Linked DNA regions of Schizosaccharomyces pombe. The protein of the gene in region 1 interacts with the protein of each later gene in a pairwise test. Each region holds a gene or a part of one and is shown on either strand. Other genes may lie near its edges.

Region 1 (8,250 bases):
ATATATCTGTATTTTCGTCTTTTAGAAGTCAAAAGCCTTTCTTTTATCTTCTACTCTCCCCTCCCATCTCTACTTTTATGCCATAGGAATTTTATGCACTTCTTGTTCTGTTTCTGTTTACAAACGGCAATAAATTTGTTTTCTTTTTTTTTTTTTAGGAAAAAGAAAATGCATTTTACAGATTTCTGTAGGACCTTTACGCGTTAAAATTAACGTTATCAAGCTTTATTACTAAATTCGTTTGCTTTATTTGGAGATAATGTTACGTTTAGTTATCGTTTCACAAACGTTTCAAGACGCTTATTTTACATTACTTTGTAAACTCAATATCAATTAGTTCGTAATCATATCAAACATCCAAAATATAGTTTTATCGTGTGTTCTCTATTTGAAGACTTGTATGATGACCAATAAGTTCGGCTTTCAATTGTAAGCGCAGATTCCCATTTTCCCTAATAATTCGTTGTTGATATTGTCGTAACCTTTAATTTCATGACAAATCTTTAAATTTTAACGAAAGAAATTTATACGCTCCTTCAAATTAAAATTCTCTAACATAAACGATGATCCCGGTGCCTCGGTTAATATGTAGAGCTCTCTTACTCAGCATGTTCGGCCTTATCATTTATTATTTGATTCTTATCGCGATCGAAGTTGTCTAACTTAGAATCATTAGGGATCGACTTGGTATTCTCCGGTTGTTTATATACTTCATTCAAATTGAAGCGTCTCAACTCTTCGAAATTTTGTACAATACTTATGCCAATTATATTCTAAATTTAAAAGGATTGTTAAATGCAATTCGTTGCAAGCAATGAAACGTACCTTAATCACTTGGACTAAAATAAGCAATTTAAAGTTCTTCAAATCTACCATATGTTGCTTTCCAACGATTCTAGCAACAGTGCGATATATATCATCTTTTTTTAGGACTGTATGATTTCGGATATTGGCTTGAACAGCGAACTCCTGGAGTTAGCCTATTGTATGCTAAAGCCATATATTATTGCTAACTTACCTTAATCCCTTCCTGGCCTTCATGAAATAACGGGTCAATCAGACTTTTAGCAAGCTCCTCGAGATCATCCAGGGAAACGCCAGTTGTTCTTACAATCGGTATCAATCGTTGTGTATATCGAGTCATTTTTTTGGTTTTCCCAACTTCACAAGTAAACTCTACAAGACGCACTGGATCAATTGGTGGCCTTGTTTTTACAAAGTAAACTTCAAAAAATTAATAAACGGTCATAATAATTCAAATACGAATAAACATCTTAAACTTCTAAAATTATACTGTTTATGCACCTACCACAAGGCATATCTAGCATAATTGGGGTTAACAGTTCTTTTTTGTTCTTTTTTTGGAGACTATTAATCTCCTTAGCAACTGCATCTTCTAATTCCTCGCCTTCTTCTTCGTTTTCTTGATCACTAGATTGAGTTTCTGGCCAAAGAGTAGCTATATGCTATTAATCATCAGTTTACGCATCCTTAACCTGACAAATGTCTTGCATACCTGAGTAAAAACATCAAGAATCTCAGACGATGATTGTCTTTCTTTACCGCGAGGAACAGTAACTAAAACACCACTTTCATTTTTTTCAATCCCTGTTCTTTTGTACTTAAACTATACTTAATAGTTAGCTTTGTTTGATAAAGATTCCTTTCCTTTTTAAAAGGTCGCTCACTGCTGTTATGAGCGTTCTCGCGCTTTCCCATTTCAGTATGTGATACTTCAAGGTGAAAGGTAAAACTCGTCTCAAATGAAATAATTAGGTAACTTAATATTTCGGACAATGCACTCATAATTAGGTTAAATGTGTTGCTAGAGTAATTAATAAATAGTTATATGTTAGTGATATTATATCTTTATTTTGCAAATTCAAATTGCCATTCGGACCCCGATTTTTCAGACATTAATAATTACTAAAGAACACATCAGACATAAAGCCAAACCAAAACTAGAACCATTATAATTATTACTAAAAGAAACTTTAAACTTTTTTAAAGTAAAAATTATGTTTTAAAAGTTATGTCTCCATTGTGGTTGATACACATCTATATACTAGTTGTTTTTGACGTTATAAATAAATACATATGGCCTATTCTTCAGGAAGAGTAGTTACCTCAGTACCTTGCTCATTCTCCTTTAGGCAGCGCTTTTTTCTCAAGGATTGATTTAAAAAAACTGACGAAGCAATTCGCTTTCTCCCAGTGGTAATCTTTCCGTTCGGAGGTAGACGCGGTCGCGGAGGTTTGCTCCTTGGCCTTATGTCTTCATCTTCCAACAACTCATCCAAACCGAATTCCTCTAGATTCTTCTTTAAAAATCCTTGAATCAACCCGATTTCGTTAGAAATACTTTCGGCGGTGATGGGAGGATATTTTGGAGGTGGAGCGTACTCTTGGTCACCCTTTATCGTTCTGAATGAATTAGTATCAAATCTTTCAAAGATATTATAAACATACGCTTCGGGTTGCCAACTCATATTCGACCTCAATCTGCTTTGTAATAAATGCAATGGAACCGATAGTGAATCTAAGCCAAGTTCTCTATCTAAACCAAGTTCCCGTAGACCAAAGAAATCATCACCAGTCTCATACGAAAAATTTCCCGTTACAAACGACTCTCCATTTTGGTTAAATATCGCTTCTTCATCATTGCGCTCAGAAAGTGCAGGACGCTAATCCGGTTAGTAACACTACTTAATAAGGAAATTCGCATACCAATAACTCAACAAAATGCCTTTGAAGACGCTGATGTATTTCTAGCAACTTCACGCTTTGGCGCTCTACATCATGATACACATATGAAATTAAATCATTCACATCGTCAACACCTAATTCCCCTAGGGTTTGTCCAACAATTTCCTAAATTGGTCAATATAACTGCATAACGTAATTAAATACCTGTTGAGATTTGTCTTTCCCATAAATGAGATACTGGTCCATGACAGCACCCATTTTTGCCATGTAATCAGCCGCTATTTCGGTCAAAGCATCCAGTGCTCCCATTTGAAACGACTCAAATCCAGCATGGAATAATATAATGGTACAAAGCTTTTTTAATACATCGTGCGCCAATGGTTTAAAGGAGGACATGTTATCGTAATTTTGTGGGATATCCAAAAGGATGGGTTCATTGTTAGCAAACGGGACATGACTTTTATGATGTTCATAATAAAATGGCTGAGGAAGCTGTAACTGGCGAACTGTTTGGATTTTATTACATAATTTCCGAATTTCTTGCATTTTAGCAATATTTTTGTACATCAACGAAGGTACACCAGGTGTGTTGCGATTAATTTCAAAAAGAGAGTAGTCCCTAAAGTATAAGTCTTCTTCACTTTCAGTCTCCAAGACGCTACCAGCGGTCATCGGAACGCCTGAACCCACATCATACTCAAGTAATGGGGTAGTATCTAATTTCATTATTGGTTCAAAATCACCTTTATCCATAGGTAAACAATCTATACTTCCATAAGCAACTTCTCGATCTATAAAAGCTGACATTGCTGTTGGCTTCCGAATCATAGGTAGTTCAGTCTCAATAAATTGTAAACTTTTTAAAATCCGCCGATTATTTAAGATATGGCTTTCACGAATATCCTTTGTTTTGATTTTCCAATATTCAGTAGCAACGTCAGACAAAGGTTCTTTTTCTAAAGTGTTAGAACTCTCTATAACGGCCGCTTCATTGACAGGAGGTGTTGAACCGCTAACAGCAGGAGGTTTAGAGGTCTCAACTTCTTTCTTTGTAACAGGAGTATTGTTTTCTTCGGGGCTATTTGCATCAGTATGAACTTCAACAGCTTGTTGCGTTTGTCCGCCCCTAGAAGATGTCTTTTTAGAAGTGACATGTTTTGATGTCTCCGCTGTTGATTCTTCATCGCTTTCAAGCTCTGCTTCAATTAAACTATCATCGTAATCCTTACGAGATTGTATTACTATATCAGGAATGAGGTTTATTAATTCCAAAGACTTGTCTTTCATAAACTGGGCATGTACGCGCAAAGGGTGGTCGGGATGTGAATTATACAAAAAGCAGTTCGACCAAATTAGCATTAAATCATGAACGAATTCTTTTTTGCTATTATAATGTAAATTTTTTAAGTTCCTTAAAATGGTACCAAGGTCCATCGGCTCCTTAATTACTACAAAATGTTAATGAGAATTTTAGAGTTATTAGAATCACTCTTACCAGTATAATAATCAGGTGCATCTCTTTTGCTGACCTTGGTTAGAAAAGCCAAAGAATGCTCCGTATATGATCTAAGTTCCAGGACCACTTTTTCTGCTGCTTCATAAAGCTCTTCTTGACCAATTCTTTGATCATTCGCCTAGAAAACATTAATACAAGCAAAAAAATAAAACTTAAATACCCATTTTGATTTATTTTTTTTAACATCGGATAACAATTGCTTCACATCAGCATCGGTGGCATTTATTTTACTTCTATTTCCCTCCAAATATTGCAGTAGATACTAAGTATTAGTTTTGGTTGACAACAAGATTAGAAAGTGATTAAAAGTATACCTTAAATGACGAGGTAAGTGATCCAAACTTTGAATTAAGCTAAATTTTGTTAATTAAAAGGAATTAAAATAACTGATAAGTTTCATAACGTACCGATAAATTATCAGATAAATCAAGAGAGGATGAATTGTTTTGAAAGCTGGATGTATTAGGGGTTGATGTGTCTTCCTCATCTTCAAATTTTTTCACTTCATTGATATTTTCAGAGTCATTTTCTAAAGTATAGTACACATAGTTGAAACTAATATTGCTGAGTGCCTTATTTGATTCGATGGCTGCAAAACCAGAAGTATCTAAAATGTTAGTATATAAGAATACTTAAGGGATGACTTACCCATATCATCTATATCGACAGATTTCAAATCTATAATGCTTTTTCGTAATGATTTATCCTTTTGAAGATCCAGAGTAATGGTAGCTTTAGACGAGTCTTCGGCATCAGATTCATCAAAATCATCATCATCAAATAGTTGTCTTCCAGTTGCTTCAGACTTTTTGGCATCTCCCTTCTTTCTTTCTTCTTCCTCGGCCAACGAAGCTTCTAAGGATATGTTTTGATGATCAACATGCTCAATAGATCCAGAACTTGTGGAACTTAAATCAAATAAAGCTGGATTTATTTTAGCGTCAAATATCATACAACGACAGCGAAACAAAGTAGTAATATCTAAATCGTCTTCCTCATCATCGTTACTGCCATTCGAGTCTTTTTCATCGCACAACTTATCCCATTCTATTACATTAATGAATCGGTTCCATAGAAGAGTGTCATTTAGTATAGAAATATACTTCCTTTTTTGTTCTGGGGACAAATAAAGGCTCCAATAATCATTTTTAAGCAGCGCGATTGCAATGTCATGAAGAACAGGCTCATCCAACGACTTTGAATCTTCGAAATTAGTCTCCATTCAAATTCTCCTTCCCTATGTATAATAGTTCATAAATGACGCGTGATAAATTAAATTAACAACCACAATGGATAAAAAATAACACTTGAGATATGTGAAGGTTTCATACTCGTTTGTTTCGCTAGCGTCGGATATGGATACACAGCGATTTCCTGAAATATGTTTAACGTACTGTAACAATTGAAAATAACGATAGAAATGAAGCAATATATGTTCTGTTTACCATTTCATACCAGTATACTACTATAAGTTTTCGAACTTAAAAAAAGATATTTGGAAGGTATCAAAGTATCACATATAAATCCTTATAAATTATGAAACAATTTAGTAACTTTTAGTAATCACTGTTCATATAATATCGCAAAAGTGAGTGAAGTGACAAGAAAATAATCCGCGATGCAGAACAATATTGTAAGTCGTAGCTAGCGCTCATAAAGATAAAATAGCTAATTTAGAACCAATAAGTACATTACGCCCTGTTTATAGGTAGAAATTCAAAACGAATTGTCCAACCAAAACAAAAAGTGATTTAATTGATTTTATCTAGATAGAATACAATCCTAGAAAATTTATTAGCGGGGCATTCCTCGACCTCTACCACGCATAATCCTATTAGCAGCGCCAGGAGGTAACGCACCCTGTGGAGCTTGAGGTTGCTGTGAAGGTTCATTTTTAATAGTCTCGTCAACGGACAGAATTAGAGTAGCTGCCTCAGTTGCTGATAATATGGCATTTGATTTGACGGTGCTAGGCTCCCAAACAAACTTCTCAAAATTGTTTGCGACCCCTTCGCTATCCATATCTACACCAGCCCACATTTCACCCTTGGCATGTTGCATACGGAGTTTATTCAAAATATTTGTTGAATCGAATCCTGCATTATCACACAGCTGACGAGGGATTACTTCCAACGAGCGAGCAAAGGCAGCTATAAAATTCTGTTGTTTACCAGATATAGTAAGAGAATAATCACGGAGATATTTAGATAACTCCATCTCACAAGCACCACCGCCAGCGACTACTAAGTTATTTTTTAACGCATGTTTAACAATCATAATAGCATCATGTAACGAGCGTTCCACCTCTGCAATAAACTGATCAGCACCGCCACGAAGAATAAGAGTGCAAGTCTTGGCCTTGGGACAACCTTCAAATAGATTGAAACGATCACCACCGATTTGACGCTCCTCAAAAGTATCACAAGTACCTAGGTGCTTCTCCTCAATATTTGAGCAGGTAGACTGGATGGAGCCGCCAACTGCTTGTACCACACGATTTAAATCATCTGCAGCAACCCTTCCAGCACAAAAAATGTCACGATCCGCGAAATATTGGGTGGCCAAATCACCGATGGGCAATTTTGACAAAACAACTTTCGCACCAGTAGCGACAATCGCTTCAAGTTTGGAAAAAATGATACGCCATTCAGCATCGACGATATTCTGGTATTCTTGAACTTTATCAACGCGAACTTCAGCATTGTCTTTCTCGGCCTTTAATTCCAACTCAACGTCCAAACAAAGAATTTTGGGATTCTTGAAGAATTTTGGCTGTTGTTCAAAACCAGCATACGAAAATGTCTTTTTAAATGCAACGCCCTTAACAAGAAGTGAATCCTCCATTGCTCCTCCAGGGACTTTTTTAATACCAATCATGTTTTCATTCAAGTCTTCTTGATCTAATGTCAAAACAGCATCAACTACCATCTTTGTAAAAAAAGTAGAATTCGAACGAATAAGCTTTGAGTTCATTGCAGTAGATGCGCATTTTGTTAACAGATCTCGTAATTTTCTGTAAAGTATTAGTAAACTGAACAAATATAAAATAACTAAAAATCCTTCTAATAAGTAATAAAAAAAGTATAGCGAAAAGCACCAATAATAAACTTTACAAAACTTATTCTAAGCAAGCTAGTTAAGCAATGCCCAGATAAAAATTCTATAAATTAAAAGTCTTACCCTTCGTCCGATAAATCCAAGTGAATAGCAATCTCTTTAATCTTATTCACAGCCAACTGGGCAGCTTTACGATAACCTCTTATAATAAGATGTGAACTAACTCCATCTTCAACAAATGTTCTCGCTTCTCTCAATAATTCGCCAGCGAATACAACGACCGAAGTAGTACCATCACCGACTTCCGCATCTTGGGCTCTGGCAATATCAACTAGCGTTTTTGCAGCAGGATGGACAATGTCCAAGAGTTTCATAATAGTTGCGCCATCATTTGAAATTACAACTTCTCCTCTATCGTCAACCATTAACTTATCAGCGCCCAATGGACCGAGAGTGGTTCGGATCGTGTCTTGTACAGCGACACAAGCATTGATGTTCGAAAGCAGTTGACCCCGTCCTTGGGAATCATCCGTACCTTCCTTCAGTACTGCAAACGATTAGAGATACTTTCATCTGCATACAAACTTACCAATGACAGGAATTTGAGGACCTCCAAGCGACATTCTATTTCAAATACCCAAATTCACTTGTATTTGGTGCTTGGCAAAAATGAAGTTACAGTTTTAGGTGACTCATTTGGCGTGTTATAAAGAATTATCGTTAGGATCCACTAAACTTGTAAACAAAAAATTATTATTAAACTACAGTAACTGTGTGCATTTGTACGTGATTTACTAACTGAATTTATAATATTTATTCGAACGTTTAAGAGCATGAGTGGAAAAATGGTAAATTATCGAAAGAATGTACAATATCTTCCAAAAAAGCATTTAGGATGCGTAATTATCAAAAGAGAGATGCTTTATTAAAAACATATATGCTGCTATATAAAAATAAATAAATATGACCAG
Region 2 (10,145 bases), on another chromosome or scaffold:
TCTTTCTCCCGGCGATTCAAGAACCCATTCTGCTGAGACTGATCGGTCATTGTTGTCGGCAATGTCTGTACGAAACAGCCGAATGCCTTACATTGTGAGTAGTACTTTGTAAATACATGTTATTTTGCCAGTGATGTACCTTTTGAAGAATGACCCATTTTTATAATTCTTTGCTTTGGAGTGTTTTGTTTTAATTATAATCATTCCTTTACATTCAAAAACTTTTCCTTGTGCTATAATGGAATGTTACTCATTGGTTTTAATCGAACAAACAACCCCAACGTTGGTATTACTCGCATAGTTTAATTATAGATAATCCAGAGATTTTTTCGGTTTGCAGTATCTTAAGTTAAAAAATAAAGATTTTGTAATGTAATATTATTGAACTTTGTCAGTAACTTTTAAGTAATTATAAATTAGGTATTGTGTGGAAATAAGGAAAGGAAGGATAATTTGAGACATTTTGAGACACTTCTTCTTTGAGGGAGTTAATCTTGTTAATTAAATCAACATTGTTCACGCTTTCATTATGAAAGTTTTTAATGTACTGTTTTCTGTCTCTGGATACTTTCCAATGTTGGTGACATTGAGCTATTATGTCCAACGCATCACTTTTTGGTAAATAGTTTCCGTCAAAGAAAAATCGGTTTTTAGGCTTCCCATCAGGGATTTTGTAAATGGCAAACCAGTCTCGCGTACAAGGTAATAGCCTTGGCATCAAGTTCTGAACATCAGAAATATCTAAGAAAGTTAGCTGTCCATAATATTTCAATCATGAAAAGCAATAGGTTACACGTACCATTAAGTAGTTTGGCACGAGGGTCGTTGATATCTATGGCAAGGATTTTCCAATCTGTTTCTCCCTGATCGATAAGACCCAATGCACCGAGAACTTTTACTTGCTTGATTTGCCCAATGTAGCCGATTGAACCTCCTATCTCGCACACATCCAAGGGATCACCATCTCCTTTCATCTTCGTTCTTGAATCTATTACGTTCGGATCCTCCCATGTCTGTGGGAGCGCGCCGTAATTCCAAATGAAACCATGGTAAGGAAAGGAATTGGCAACATAACGCAGCTTTCCATTTTTTAGATCCTGCTTGATGGGATGAAAGGGAGAAGTTAACGAAATTTCACATTTTGCTTGAGTCCAACGGGGAATTTCAGTAACCTAGTTGAAAAAAATTGTTAGTGCTGTCATACTCCGCAGCGATAATGAAAAGGATATATAACTAATTGGCAACAAAAACCTCAAAATTCAATGAGTTACTATACACACCATATTAAATGTGTCCTTATCAGATGTCAATGGGACATCATGGAAGAATGAAATTGGTTTATTGTTTTTATAGCAATACACGCGAAAGTCCGGCGTATTTAGTTTTCCAGTGATTTTCGACCGAAATTGAAGAATATTTTTAGCAAGGGAAGCCATGGGAAATTTTTCTATTACCAAGCTCATCAATCAACTCTCTAGTTGAACTCACCGACTAAAGTAATACACCATCTATCATCTAAACTGTTTCTACCACATTATGAAGTATAAAGCGCTGAAGGTTGCAATCCGTTAAGGATTTAACCGTACATGTAACAACATCATTAAATATACAATCAGAGTGAAAGGGCATTTTAGGGCGGAAGAACTTGGATAAAAGTAAAACGTACGTATGGATTAGCAGGCACTGAATAGACTACAAATATCTCAATTTATTTATAAAAATCAGGAATGATATTCATTCATAATCTATCTATACATTTAGAAAAACCAAGGGGACTTTAAAATGCAATCAATTGTGATTCATTATTAATTTATAAAATAATAAACATTTAACAGACAGGATTTTCAACCATTGAACGGTACTCTTTACTCTACAGTTATCTCAGCTGAAAAGAATTTACATGCTTGAAAACTAGCAAATCCATCGTAAATTACAATGAGAAAGTATTTGGTACTAATTGTAGCTTCATTATATTGGAAATGTTTACCAGTTTGATTAGAATTTCGTAATAGTGAAACGTGGCCTTGAACAGTTTTTATCCATTAATTATACAGAAAGAATAGTGACTAAAATCGGCGTGCTTTATTTACATTCAATTTCAACTACAAAAATAAATTTTTAAAAAACATAAGGGACCAGCCGGATTTGAACCAGCGACCTGGGGATCTGCAATCCCTCACTCTAACCACTGAGCTATGACCCCTTACATTTGTAAGTAAAATAATTGTCGTATATATTTAATTAAAACCTTGCAATTCTTTTTTATGTATATAAATTGACTAATATGTCGTTTAATCTGTTTATTTTTTTTTTTTTTAGGTTTTAATGCGAGAATTTTACTTTGTGTGGTGAAAGAAAATTGCAATGAAATAACATTATTAATAAAAGTTTCTTACATGAATTAAGATTTTTTTTACTTAATAAAATATCACGAGTAACTTTTAATGCAGCATACAAATTCGTAAATTAACAGTACTAGTGTTTTTATCAATTTTAAAACGATTGCAAAAGTCATTGTTCATAATGCCATAAGTAAACTTGTGTTATAAAGTTTTTCCATTCCGTGCTGCAAGTGTTATACAATTATAATGTATAATAGGAAGTCTGATCTTGTTCGAAAACTAAGGCGTTTCTCTAGGCTTAATGATTTCTGGATTTTATTTATTAGAAAAACATTGCACACAGCTTTCTAAAGAATTGTTTTATTTTATCACTTAGTGAACTCTTAACCTCACAAAAGAGCTTACATTTTAGCCTCGATCATGAATAGTATTACGCCTACGAAATCAAAAGGAATAACGAATGCTAACAAACAGTGGTATTCGTAGTCGCTTTTCCTCATGTCAATACGAAGGCAATACTCATCCTCGAGAATCTGCGTAACATGCAGTATTTGTGTCAGAGGTGTCATTCTTTGATAAATTTTAAAGATGTTTACGATGATGACTTGTTAAAGCTAAAAAATCTTCCGAAAAGTAGATTTGTTCAAGCATCATCGTTGACAGAGATGAATGAGAGTGGGGAGAGTGATGATCAAATGAATTCTTCTTCTGAAGACTATCCAGCTCAGAGATTGCAACTTTACAAAAAAACAATAAGCGAAGGTGATTACAATTTTGATAATGTACCACCGCCCGAATTGAGGACGCCCACTTTAGATTCATTTGTTGTATTGCCAGCTGCTAAAGATGGCTATGAAGAAGAAAAGAATTCGCCTGAAGAGGTGAATGATCTTTTTAGTTGGAAAATAGAAATTTATAACAGAATATTTGATCTTTTATCCTCTAAAACCAAAGTCGATCACCCTCTTTGTGTCGAATGTGCTGAGTTATTGACTGAAGAGATGTCTAAAACATTAAGGGCCCTAAAAGAGGAAAAAAAAATGTATTTTAATTATGATAATTTCTTATCAAGTCAAACAGTGCATGAAGAAAATACTGCTGCGCTTGATTCTGAGATAGATGAATTAATGAAACAGATTAATGAGAAAGAAGAAAAGATCGAGGAAATTAGTGATGAAACAGACAAACTTCAAAAGTTGCTACGTGAATTGGACGAAGAAAAGGAAAAAGTTTATGCCGAGGAGCAAGAGTTCTACAATAATCTAAACCAATTTCAAATAAAAAAGCTGAGTTTAGAAAGACAATACGATTGTGCAAACTTGGAGTTTGAGCATAACTCTAGGAAGCTCGAGAAGCTTCAGAAAATGAATGTTTTCAGTGATATTTTTTACATTTCTCATTATTCTGAGCCGAATGGAGAGGGCTCTATTGCTACAATTAATGGCTTACGCTTGGGAAGGCTTCCAAGCCAGAAAGTTAATTGGGCTGAGATAAATGCCGCTTGGGGGATGACTGTTTTACTATTAGATGTTTTGACTGAAAAGTTAGACTTTCATTCCTCTTCCTATCAGCTGAAGCCTTTTGGCAGCCAATCTTTTATAATTCGTTTTGATCGCGATCCTAATGGAAATCAAGTTAAACCAACAAAGCTAGATCTTTTTTCTAGCGGAGAGCTCAAAATATTTATGAATCGTAGATTTGACCAAGGCATGGTGGCTTTTCTGGATTACTTACATCAATTTGGCGATTTTTGTGCTGCTAAAACACCTTCAGCGGTTTTACCCTATGCCATTGAAAATGACCGTATCGGCGGAAAATGCATACGTTTAGCATTCAATCAGGACGAGAATTGGACTCGTGCGTTGAAGTTCGTCCTAACGGATATCAAATTTTTGGAAGCTTACGTTTCTTCTCAGGACAAGCAGTCGAACTTTTAATCCTTAATTCCCATTTGCTTTTTACTTTATGACTTATTTTCAAGTATTATATTCTACAGGCTGTTCCTCATTTAATTTTCATCATGTTGTTTCACTAGACAAATTTTTATACAGTTTTTATGTTTCATGAGTTTATTTTGTTTAATTTAATGAATTAGATTATCGTTCTCAAGTATTTAAAATCATAATAATAAATGTATAATATAAAAATAGTGAAGTACACTAAAGCAAATAACAATCGTATAACCAACTCCAAGCTTCCCATATAAAAGTTTCAGCAGAATTTTGTCTTTGCCAGTAGTCAAAACTATTTAAAGTAAAGATGCCCAAGAAAGCACTTGACTCTCGTATTCCGACTCTCATAAAAAATGGGTGCCAGGTAATTCTATCAAGTTTATAAGTTACTGACAAAGATTAGGAAAAACAGCGGAGTTTTTTCGTTGTCGTAGGCGATAGAGCTCGAGATCAGGTTGTTAACTTGCATTGGCTGCTATCTCAATCCAAAGTTGCCGCTAGACCAAATGTACTTTGGATGTATAAAAAAGATTTGCTTGGTTTTACGAGGTATGAGACCCAATGATGAAAACACCCAGCTTGTTTAGAAAGAATTAAACTTTTATTAACCCATATAGCCATCGAAAGAAGAGAGAAAATAAAATTAAAAAGGAAATCAAAAGAGGAATTCGTGATCCAAATTCAGAAGACCCATTTGAGCTTTTCTGCAGTATAACTAATATCAGATATTGTTATTATAAAGAGTCCGAAAAAATTTTAGGTCAAACATATGGAATGCTTGTTTTGCAGGACTTCGAAGCATTAACTCCCAATTTGCTTGCAAGAACAATCGAAACTGTTGAAGGTGGAGGTATCGTGGTTTTATTGTTACACAAGTTAAATTCCTTAAAACAGTTGTATACAATGTCAATGGATATCCATAGTCGTTACCGTACTGAAGCCCATAGCGATGTAACTGCAAGGTTCAATGAAAGATTCATTTTATCTTTAGGAAACTGCGAAAATTGTTTAGTGATTGATGACGAACTGAATGTTCTCCCTATTTCCGGTGGTAAAAACGTAAAAGCTTTGCCACCTACTTTAGAAGAAGATAATTCCACTCAAAACAGTATTAAGGAACTACAGGAATCTTTGGGTGAAGATCATCCTGCTGGCGCCCTTGTTGGTGTTACTAAAACACTTGATCAAGCTAGGGCTGTGTTAACCTTCGTTGAATCTATCGTTGAAAAAAGTTTAAAAGGAACAGTCTCTTTAACAGCAGGTCGTGGTAGAGGTAAATCCGCTGCTTTAGGCCTTGCTATTGCCGCTGCTATAGCTCACGGCTACTCCAATATTTTTATTACATCGCCTAGTCCTGAAAACTTAAAAACTTTATTTGAATTTATTTTTAAAGGATTTGATGCTTTAAACTATGAGGAACACGTTGATTACGATATTATTCAATCAACGAATCCAGCCTACCACAATGCCATAGTGCGAGTAAATATCTTCCGTGATCATCGCCAAACAATTCAATATATTAGTCCCGAGGATTCAAATGTTTTGGGTCAAGCTGAACTTGTTGTTATTGATGAAGCTGCAGCCATTCCTTTACCATTAGTTCGAAAGCTTATTGGCCCTTATTTGGTATTTATGGCATCTACAATTAACGGTTATGAGGGAACTGGTAGATCTTTATCATTAAAACTCTTGCAACAGCTTCGTGAGCAATCCAGAATTTATTCAGGTAGCGGAAATAATAAGTCTGATTCGCAATCACATATTTCCGGCCGTACACTGAAAGAGATTTCTTTAGACGAACCTATAAGGTATGCAATGGGGGATCGTATTGAGCTTTGGTTGAACAAATTATTATGTTTAGATGCAGCAAGTTATGTTTCACGGATGGCGACTCAGGGTTTTCCTCATCCTTCAGAATGTTCTTTGTACAGAGTGAGTCGTGATACCTTATTTTCGTATCACCCTATTTCTGAAGCTTTTTTGCAAAGAATGATGTCGTTATATGTTGCCAGCCATTACAAAAATTCGCCGAATGACCTTCAACTTATGTCAGATGCTCCTGCGCATCAGTTGTTTGTTCTGCTTCCTCCTGTAGATTTAAAGAATCCAAAACTCCCTGACCCAATTTGTGTCATTCAATTAGCACTGGAGGGTTCCATTTCCAGAGAAAGCATTATGAACAGTTTAAGTCGGGGACAAAGAGCTGGAGGTGACTTGATCCCATGGCTAATTTCTCAGCAGTTTCAAGACGAGAATTTTGCGGCTTTAGGTGGTGCTCGTATTGTTCGTATTGCTGTATCTCCTGAACATGTTAAAATGGGCTACGGAACTAGAGCCATGCAATTACTACATGAATATTTTGAAGGAAAGTTTATAAGCGCATCTGAGGAATTTAAAGCTGTTAAACATTCTCTTAAGCGTATTGGGGACGAAGAGATTGAGAATACCGCTTTGCAAACTGAAAAAATTCATGTGAGAGATGCAAAAACCATGCCACCTTTGCTTTTGAAGCTTTCAGAACTTCAACCAGAGCCTTTACACTATGTTGGTGTTTCGTATGGTCTAACACCGTCATTGCAAAAATTCTGGAAACGAGAGGGTTATTGTCCTTTGTACTTAAGGCAGACTGCAAATGATCTAACGGGCGAGCATACCTGTGTAATGTTGAGAGTCCTTGAAGGCCGTGATAGTGAATGGCTTGGAGCATTCGCTCAAAATTTTTATCGTCGATTCCTCAGCTTACTTGGTTACCAGTTCAGAGAATTTGCTGCGATTACTGCACTCAGTGTATTAGACGCATGTAACAATGGCACCAAATATGTGGTTAATAGCACATCTAAATTAACCAACGAAGAAATTAACAACGTTTTTGAATCATACGATTTGAAGCGCTTAGAGTCTTATTCTAATAATTTGCTCGATTACCATGTTATTGTTGATTTGCTTCCAAAGTTGGCCCATCTTTACTTCAGCGGTAAATTCCCTGATTCTGTTAAGCTGTCTCCAGTTCAGCAATCTGTATTATTAGCTTTGGGATTGCAGTATAAGACTATCGATACACTTGAAAAGGAGTTCAACTTACCCTCAAACCAATTATTGGCGATGTTAGTCAAGTTGTCCAAGAAAATTATGAAGTGTATAGATGAAATTGAAACGAAGGACATCGAAGAAGAATTAGGTTCGAATAAGAAAACGGAAAGTAGTAATTCTAAACTTCCTGAGTTTACTCCTCTCCAGCAATCCTTGGAGGAAGAGCTACAGGAAGGAGCAGATGAGGCTATGCTTGCTTTACGTGAAAAGCAAAGAGAGTTGATCAATGCTATAGATTTGGAAAAATATGCCATTCGTGGAAACGAAGAGGATTGGAAGGCTGCAGAAAATCAAATCCAAAAGACAAATGGAAAAGGCGCTAGGGTGGTCAGCATTAAAGGGGAAAAGAGAAAAAATAATTCTTTGGACGCTTCAGATAAAAAAACAAAAGAAAAGCCTTCTTCCAAGAAGAAATTTAGGAAATAGGTATTAGTTACGCGTGTTTTGTTTTAAACTGGTGAATGGTTTAGGTTTTTATGTGGGAAAATAAATTTATTAGAATAGTCGATACCCTGATATGATACTTTGCACAGAAAGTACGAGATAATTAACTAAAATTAATTCAGATGTGTATGCGGCTTCAAATTTACTCAACAAGTAAATGTTGTATTTCGCTAGTATTAAATTCACGGGCTTGATACCTGAAGTTTGATCGAAAATAAAGTAGAATATAAATCGTGGGCAACAAAATTTAAGAAATTTAATTTTTCATATTTTGTGGAATTATGTTTTAGCGTAGTATTCTATCCAGCCTAAATTAATATACTCTCGGTTTCTCTTCTAAAGCTAAGGTAGTTGCGCTCCTTAAGCAGCTAAACACCTGAGTCGAAAGCGAAACTTGATCAAAACACAAATTAAACAATAAGAGATTAAGTGAAATAGATTATAGAAAAGAGAGGGTTTTCATGAAGAGAAAAGATAATAAAGAATTAATTTGCATACCAAGCTCTTCACCTCCTTCAACTCCTATACGCGAAGAAAATTATTATTTGCTTACGAGCTCTCCCATTGAATGTAGTCCTATTCAACAATTAGACCTGTCAGGAAGTTTCAAAAATTATTCAACTACCTCCTCAAGGGCTAACGGGAAAAAATTTGGGCAGTTGGCTATGCAATCTCGTATTTTTTTTGACACAACCGATCATAAAAAGTATGTTGAGAGCAGCTACGCGGCGTACGATCCTCACGATCAGCCTCCTGAACGCGATGTGAGTTTAAAAGAATCTTCGAACAAAATAAACCCCTCAAACTTTTTTGACAGCGAACAAATTACGAAAATTAATGCTGTAAAAAAACGATTTCCAGCCTTAGATTCAGAAATGATAATTGCAACATTAGAAAAATTCAACTGGAGGGAAAACATAACTATCCATAAGCTTACGTTTCAGAAGTTGCTAGGACGAGGTAACTCGACAATCAACAAGTCAGCCCAAAAGCTGAACAACCAGCCCATTGAAAAGTCCTCGGTAGACAAGGAGAACGCAAAAAGGAAACGTTATGTAGAAGAAGGAACTAAACAAGGGCAAAAGAAAAAGCCGCTTCGTGTTATTGAACTTTCAGATGAAGAAACGAATGAAGATGACTTGTTAGGCCAATCACCTACAGCGTGTACTACAGATGCTAACATCGATAATTCTATTCCCGAAAATTCTGATAAAATAGAGGAAGTAAGCATCGAAAGTTCAGGACCTTCAGAAGTTGAGGATGAAATGTCTGAATATGATGTTCGAGTTTTAAACTTTTTAAATGAATCTACACTTCAAGAAATAGTAGAAGTTTCCGGTTGTGAATCAAAAGTGGTGGAATATTTTATTTCTAAACGACCATTTCCTTCTTTAGAAAAAGCAGAGGCACTATGCCAACGAAATGCGCACGCAGCCACAGGTAAACGAAAGAAATCAGATGGCCGCAACGTTGGAAGAAAATTAGTTAATTCAACTTATGAAGTACTTCAGGGATTCGATGCTGTTGACTCTCTGATTGCTAAATGCGAAAGGTACGGGGCTATGATATCCAATACTATGCGATCTTGGCACAATTTGTTTGATGATAAAAAAATGGAACAGTTTCTTAATACTTCTACAGGGTCTATCAGTTACGAATACAATAGTCAACAACCATCTTCAATCGCATCTGGTATAACTTTGAAAAGTTATCAGATTGTTGGACTCAATTGGTTGTGTTTGATGTACAAAGCAAAATTGTCAGGGATTTTAGCTGATGAAATGGGTCTAGGAAAAACATGTCAAGTGATTTCATTTCTAGCTTCGTTAAAGGAGAAAGGTATACAAAATCGCCACTTGGTAGTTGTTCCATCTTCTACTCTCGGAAACTGGTTGCGAGAATTCGAAAAGTTTTGCCCGTCGCTTAGAGTAGAAAGCTATTCGGGAACTCAGTCGGAAAGGATCAACAAAAGGTACTACTTAATGGATACGGATTTTGATGTTCTAGTTACTACTTACCAACTTGCATCTGGAAGTCGAGACGACAGATCATTCTTAAGGAAACAGAGATTTGATGTAAGCTTATGTTTTTTATCGGTAAACTAATCTTTTAGATTTCTATATTTGATGAAGGGCATTATTTAAAAAATAGAATGTCAGAACGATATAAACACCTGATGAATATTCCAGCGAATTTTCGGCTACTCATCACTGGGACACCGCTTCAAAATAATTTAAAGGAGTTAATTGTATGTTTGAATAACTTATTTTTACTAATTTTTGCTAGTCCCTTTTAGCCTTTATGCTACCTAAAGTAT

What was found.
Region 2: the proteins of tan1 (region 1) and nat10 interact in a two-hybrid assay, tested with the Schizosaccharomyces pombe proteins (one study listed by BioGRID).

The regions. Positions count from the first base shown.
Region 1 is NC_003423.3:3,260,571-3,268,820, reverse strand, and holds tan1 (tRNA acetyltransferase), read right to left. Parts: upstream 1,807-8,250; coding exon 1,735-1,806; exon of another isoform or gene 1,628-1,734; coding exon 1,517-1,627; exon of another isoform or gene 1,467-1,516; coding exon 1,310-1,466; intron 1,225-1,309; coding exon 1,019-1,224; exon of another isoform or gene 970-1,018; coding exon 826-969; exon of another isoform or gene 818-825; intron 774-817; coding exon 600-773; downstream 1-599. Other genes in the region: SAGA complex bromodomain subunit Spt7, read right to left, coding at 2,103-2,424, 2,470-2,684, 2,728-2,871, 2,911-4,154, 4,202-4,340, 4,383-4,484, 4,537-4,575, 4,630-4,829 and 1 more; chaperonin-containing T-complex eta subunit Cct7, read right to left, coding at 6,017-7,235, 7,403-7,826, 7,869-7,902.
Region 2 is NC_003424.3:1,413,207-1,423,351, reverse strand, and holds nat10 (rRNA/tRNA cytidine N-acetyltransferase), read left to right. Parts: upstream 1-4,575; 5' UTR 4,576-4,601; coding exon 4,602-4,658; exon of another isoform or gene 4,659-4,697; coding exon 4,698-4,843; intron 4,844-4,880; exon of another isoform or gene 4,881-4,911; coding exon 4,912-7,810; 3' UTR 7,811-7,900; downstream 7,901-10,145. Other genes in the region: ubiquitin-protein ligase E3 Meu34, read left to right, coding at 1-112; ceo2 (inorganic diphosphatase), read right to left, coding at 410-741, 800-1,172, 1,281-1,436; atg6 (beclin family protein), read left to right, coding at 2,885-4,279; histone chaperone/ATP-dependent chromatin remodeller Fft1, read left to right, coding at 8,290-9,903, 9,942-10,076, 10,115-10,145. UniProt on the Schizosaccharomyces pombe protein: RNA cytidine acetyltransferase with specificity toward both 18S rRNA and tRNAs. Catalyzes the formation of N(4)-acetylcytidine (ac4C) at positions 1297 and 1815 in 18S rRNA.